2 linked regions of the Drosophila melanogaster genome follow. The protein of the gene in region 1 interacts with the protein of each later gene in a pairwise test. Each region holds a gene or a part of one and is shown on either strand. Other genes may lie near its edges.

Region 1 (3,496 bases):
AGATTAGAAATAGAACACACAATGGTTCTATTGTAAATGTTTGTATTCATAAAACTATATTAAATGTGACGTTTTAAAGCAAACGATAAGCGGGCCAACGGTGCGTATGAGTTATAAGGGGGACGCAACAATTCACTTACAAGTTTTTTCCTCAGTAGTACACCTTGACTTGTTAAATACATTCGTATTCGTATTTATTTGTTGTAGGTAAATATTAGTTTCTTTTATTAGCTAAAACATCTGCGGCTTATCTTTTGGCGTATCGCGATTGTTTCTATTTCACCACGATTCAAGGGCTTGTAATTGTTATCTTCTGAGATTTTTAGTATTGCTTGCACCTTTTGTTTGTCAAGAGTTTAGCACTATCTTGCCGAAATAAACTCGAAAGCGCTATTATCAGTCATGAACACTGTATTTCATATAAAAAGGTCAGTTATTGCCGAATTACACACATAAAGTGCAATCAAGCTATTAGATAAGTATTTTCCCAGGAAATTAAAAGCAACGACGTAGTTGAGCCAATACGTAGTAGTACTTAAACTTTTATTTATTTTAACTATTTACACAAGTTCAAGATTATCATTACATGTCATCCAGCAATCCAAACTGATCCAGAAAAGGCAGTGTGACACTTAATTTCTTTTTTATATTTTCCGATTCATAAACTGAGTTCTTGAATCGCATTCCACTCTCGGAACTGGATAGGACCTGCTCAATAGAAGCATCCTCTTTGCCCTCGTACTGCATGACAGGCTCAAAAATCAAGGAACAGAATACGGCTGCGGATAAATTATTTAAAAAACTATTTTGAAAGAGAGTTAAGAACTGTACCCACCATAGAATCCTCTCGAGCGGAACTGCAGTTGGAAGTCGAACAAGCTGGGTATCCGACCAGCATATTTTAACTTCCTTAGGGCCTCCGTCAGCCTATAGTAATAAAACTGAACCAATTCTGTTTGATGTTCCAAGCGAAGATTATCCTGCAACGAGGTGGAGAAGAAGTAGTGGAGATCGATGGCCGGCGAGTTCCACACGCTGAACTGGAAGTCAATGAAGATGGCATTCGTGGGATGCTCTTTTGCATCGTACTGGAACATAAAGTTGGTGGTCCAAAGATCTCCATGGGCCAGAGTTAAAAAGTCGCCAGGACTACTAGTCGTCGATCTTTCGCCATAGTCCATCAAACGTTCCACAAGCCTGTCGATCTTGGCCTTGTACCGCTGTCCCAACTCCTCATCCGAAGCAAGGGAGCGGGACAGAGCCTCCAGAAGATTGGTCATGATCGGGGCGTATGCCCGGGTGTGTTTGTTGAAAAAGCCACGATCATAGTTCTTGTCGAAGATACCCGGCTGTCGCTCGGCGAGAACTGATGAAGCTGCATGAAAGAGGGCCAGTTTCTCCAGTACCAGGTGGGTGTGTTCTAGGTCCAGCTTCTTTCGACGGCATGCAACCTTGTAATGATCCAGTGACATGTCCTCGAAGATGATCGAGTCCCTTTCGCGGTCCACATTCATGGTGGCCGCAAAGAGCTTCCTGGAGTCTTTAAGCTCCTTCCTCACCATATCCGCCAGCTGGGGAAGGATGTGCTCGTATATATCCATTTCACGGGTGTAGACACCATAGTGGATGAGCACATCGCCGGCTGGATCCCGGTCAGCGAATGTGGTCTTAACCAGAAATGTGGTGGACTGTTTCCCTTTCGATACCTTGGTCGTGTACTCCACATTGATGCGGGTCATCACGCTGCCGTAGTTTCCTCCATTGGCCACGGCTGGCTTTGTATCCAACGTCGCCAGCTTCAGTGAGCTATCCTTGAAGTAGGTGCGCAACTTATCCTGCACATATTCCGAGGTGAGCCAAACTGGCGCTGGGTGAACTTTGTGGGTAGATTTCTCAGTCATGATCCTATCCGTAACTCAGGGCTTTCGCTTCTGCGACATTGCGAACGGAGTCCGACCACTTTTATAGCCAACTTTAGTGTATATATGATAAGTTTAGTGCAAGTATCTCGTGGCAACTGGCTTCGTCATGGACAAACAACACTTGAACAATTTCGAGTCTGGTCGAACGCTCACGTTTTTTGCAATGCACTTTTTATTAAGTATTCCTGGTAACCAAAATTTCGCAACTTATCACCATATACAGATTCATCGCAACAAATTTATAATTAATTCATTTTGTTTTACATTTCCCAAAGAAGAGAAATACAACTTAATATTTTTTATTGTTTGTTATCGAATATCGTAAAAAGTAAGTGAATTAATTTAGTGGGTTGCCTTGATAGTTTTTCCAAGAATTCCCCCGTATCGTCGTCTGTAGCTAATTTTAATGTCAATATCAACAAAAACAATTAGAAAACTTTTTAATACGGATTTTGTCCCGTTTTCATGTTTTCTAAACATTTACCTACAATTAGCACCTGTGAATTGTCATTCATAAGTGCATACACAATTAATAAAAGTTAGTAATAGCAGGGAAAGTAATCGAAATTATTTTGTATTTATTATATTTTATAAGCAAATATAAAATCTATAATTACGATAATAATATTACTATTTTCGCTTTACATCACGTCTAGTAAACCCAAATGATCAAGAAAGGGCAAAGTGAGACGCATCTTTTTCCTGGTCTCCTCCGCCTGAAATGCGTCATCCTTAAAGCGCATTCCCTTCTCCGAAAGGGATATTATCTGATCCATTGATGCCTCTTCCTTGCCCGTGTACGTCATCGTTGGTTCAAAGATCAGTGATGCGAAGGCAGCTGAATGATAACATAAATGAATATAAATTCCTTAACCAGGCACGTTAGTATACCCACCATAGAAGGATCTGTTCCTGAACTGCTGATGGAAGACGAATAGGCTCGGAACATTTCCGGAATACTGGACTTTCTTCAAGGCAGCATTCAGTTTGTAATAGTAGAACTGGACCAGCTCTGGCTGTTTCTTCAGTCGAATATCAGCCTGCAAGGCCGTTGAAAAGAAGTAGTGTAGATCGATGGCCGGCGAGTTCCAAGCACTGAACTGAAAGTCGATAAAGATGGCATTTATGGGATGTCCTTTGTCGTCGTATTGGAACATAATATTGGTGGTCCAGAGATCCCCGTGAGCCAGGGTCAAAAAGTCACCGGGAACAATGGTCGTCGATCGTTCTCCGTACTCCATTACGTTCTCCACCAGTCGATCGATCTTTGCCTGGTAACGCTGACACAGATCCGGCTCCAGCTCCAGGGATCGGGACAAAGCCATCAAAAGATTCTTCATGATGGGCTCGTAGCCGCGGGTATGCTGGTTAAAGAATCCACGATCGAAATTCTTCGCAAAGATTCCAGGCTGGCGCTCAGCCAAGGCTGCTCCGGCAGCATGGAAATTGGCCAGCTTCTCGAGTACCAGATGAGTGTGCTCCAGATCCAGTTTCTTGAGCCGATCGGCCACTCTGTAATTCTCCAGGGACATATCCTCGAAGATGATCGAGTCCCGTTTCCGATCAACATAAAC
Region 2 (3,320 bases), on another chromosome or scaffold:
TGCCTACAGTTCCGCCGAACCACGCCCATCCAGACCAAATGAGCTAGCAGAAATTGAACTTTGCAAAGCCATCAAATTAAATAAATACTGAATATAGTGTTTCCTCACAAGTGAAATGCTAAATGCTCTTAGCATAAAAAATAAATATAATTTATTAAAAAAATTTTATGTATAATGCATAATTTGTATATAATATTTGTTTTCCTGGCTGGTTAGTATATCATCATAAATCTAAAAACAATGGACTTACTCAGCTAATGAGCTGTCTAGATAAAACCCAACATCCTCGAAGGAAATCCCTTAGATGGCGTATCGCAAAATGACGATGTAAGATGCCTATTCCCGGTCGGCAAGCCGCAGACATATGCACCTCCTTAGATGTACTGATCGATATCCTTTGGGGCCGTGTGCAGGCGCAGGATAATTGAATTTGAAGTGAAGCTGCTCCTTGTGGCAGTTATGAAATTTCTAGCCCGGCTTCCGCTGCCAGGGAACGGAAACAAAAGCGGGGCAAAACGAAGTTACAAGTTGCCAGCAAGTGTGAGTGTGCGTCTGGCTCAATATATGGGCATGGTGCCGGGTCTGGAGGTGGCGCAAAGGATCAGGATGCGATGACGAGGCCCACATCAGTGCTGCCAGGAGGAGACAATAAATTCACTTAGGCGGCGGAAACAGAAGAACAAACTGAAGGGAAAACTCAATAAATTAGACCGTATTGGAGAGAAAAACTGTTTTTTAACGGCCATATTAAGTTTTAAATTCTTATGAATCTTGAACTTTTTCACTCTACGTAAGATATTCGAAGAACATCAGCCCATTCAGAAACCCCAATATTACACATTATGTTATTATGGTTTTACATTTTTCAGAGGTTCTTCTTGTGGAAAGGATAGCAAAAGCTGTCAGCACTGCCACACATGCCCCCATGTCATGCAGCCTCGGCAATGAATTTGCGTTTCCGCCTCGCCGCTTTCGCCATCATGGTTAACCGCGTCGTTGATTTAAGGGCGTTCTCCGTTCCTTGCGAGTAGCTGGCGTACTCCGCATCCTTTGTCCTTACTGCTCGAGCGACACAATTAAAAATGTGCGGCCCAATTCATTTGATTGGCACGAAGGAAGCGACGAGATAAGCAACTTCCGTTGGCTGAAATTTTGGCATCTTCATCAATCAAGAATGTGCTCGTTCTCGTGGGCTGGCTGTTGGGGAAAATGTCATATAGGTTGATAGAAAAAACAGCAATATAAATATTTCAAATTAATAATTGATGTCTACCAAAAGCAGTTAAATTTTTTAATATCTTCACAATTATTGCCGATTTCCAATAAAAATATAACAAATTAATAAAGTATAAATTTAAATCAACTTAATTCCCAATAAAAAGTATTTCATAATAAATAAAACAAGGATAACGCTAGGAACAGTAAGTAATAAACTAGTATTCCCTTATGAAAACCCATGAATTTAATGTCCGATTAAAATTGTAATATTTAGCGCCTAATCGATAACAAGTATGTATACAGCTGTTTTAAACTGTCTGGTAGCACTGATCTTATCGAATATGTACAATTCCATCCCTAGAAAAACTTGCATAAAAAATAAAGAACAATTGAACAATTGCATTTAGAATGGAGTATGTGCACTCTGTTTGGAGCTACCTAGCCTCGATCTGCAACTGCTGGCAATGCACCGAAGATCCAGGTGCGCAGGTAATCCGCACATTCCCCTTTCCCCGTCAACAGACCGAATACACAATGCGTTCCATCTGCAGCCCAACGAGCCGAACGAGCGGACACACCTTCTCGTGGACCCGGTGAACCATAGTCCTGCCCTTCGACGGAGCAACTCCGATGGCCTCAGCACCGACTACGCCCACTCCCTTCCCAAGAAGGACGATCAGAACGCCCTCTCCAGACTGGTGCAGAATACTGCGATGTACGTAGTTGATAGTGTATAGGGTCCACATTTGGCACTATCATATACAATTCCATTGATTGGAATGCTAGCATTTTACAGCGATTGCTATACTATACTATACTATAGTAGTATACCTACGTAGTTATAGCGATGGCAGGATCTAGTATGTAGTATGGTTATACCCAAGCATTTATCGGGATGTTCAATGCAACAAAGCAACACAGCCCTAATTATCGCTTATCTATATTATATTTGTATTCGCTTATACGCTACTTTGCTCTCCAGAAACATGATAAACGTTGGAGCCATGGACTGTCACAGCCTGGAGCACCAGGAGTACGCCGATAGAATAAGATTGTACTCGCAGCGGTTGCATCAACAGTGGAACAACGGCCAGCACGCCAGTATCGCACCAAAAGGTTTGCAATATAGCTAGATTGAAAGGGTGAATGATGACTAACAATTAAATGAACAACAGGTCTCCTTAAAGATGTACCAAGCCATCAGTTCTATCTGTCTAAGCCAACCTATCCAGATGACACTGCTCAAGTGAGTTTTACTTTTCGCAAATTGCTTGTTGCTTACCAATTTCGTATGTTTTTAGATGAAGCTCTTCACCGAGAAGGCACACATCAGTGTCTCGCACATACAGATCGACCACAAAGAGGCCGTGGTTGTTCCCTTCCGGATTCCCTGATTATCGTATCTTAAGTGAAATAAAGTGATAAATTTATATAAAATCAAAATCTATATTGGTACTAAGTAGCCCTTGAATAACCAGGTAATCGACTTATTTTCATTAAGTGTACAGAAGCAAATAAATACATACTATATTCTTAACACGGCAAGACATTTTTTTTATTTAGGAAGGCACACACACACACATATAGCTAAAATCCAAAATGTCGTTCGATCTTAACCATAAATTTTGGGTCTACACGCGCAAGGAAATTGGTAAATTAATCAAGAAGCAGAACCGCCTGAAGAAGATTGAGCCGCCAGAGGAAAAGGCAGTATCGTATAAAATTTACGCAGAGCTCTATGTTTTGTATGTGGAGCTGGTCAATAAGTTAAGTTTCATATACCACAATACTTTCCAAGTGCAAAAGCGGGCATTGGTACGTGTTTTGGTGGAGAATGCCACTCAGCAGCTAATGCAACTCAAGGAGGAGTTAAAAGACTTGGAAATGAGCGAATACATTTACATAGATAAGGCGCTGATCGCTAGGAAGCTAACACCACGGGACCTGGTCGTATGGAGGTCACCACAATTCCTTTACCGTCGCCCGTTGGACATTCAAAATATCATTGCCGACAACCGATTGTACATGAACGATGAGGAAAAGGAAGAAAAGGCAGCCCAGGATTGGGTTCCGATCAGTGAGGCGGTCAAGCTTATCCAAGC

What was found. Proteins that work in one complex are often made in the same cells at the same time.
Region 2: the proteins of CG11878 (region 1) and Lamtor1 interact in a two-hybrid assay, tested with the Drosophila melanogaster proteins (one large-scale study listed by BioGRID).

What each region holds. Positions count from the first base shown.
Region 1 is NT_033777.3:25,272,253-25,275,748, reverse strand, and holds CG11878 (uncharacterized protein), read right to left. Parts: upstream 1,913-3,496; 5' UTR 1,902-1,912; coding exon 836-1,901; intron 780-835; coding exon 583-779; 3' UTR 512-582; downstream 1-511.
Region 2 is NT_037436.4:20,027,259-20,030,578, reverse strand, and holds Lamtor1 (late endosomal/lysosomal adaptor, MAPK and MTOR activator 1), read left to right. Parts: upstream 1-1,558; 5' UTR 1,559-1,626; coding exon 1,627-1,707; intron 1,708-1,769; coding exon 1,770-1,933; intron 1,934-2,200; coding exon 2,201-2,334; intron 2,335-2,393; coding exon 2,394-2,464; intron 2,465-2,519; coding exon 2,520-2,612; 3' UTR 2,613-2,760; downstream 2,761-3,320. Other genes in the region: CG14183 (uncharacterized protein), read left to right, coding at 2,818-3,320.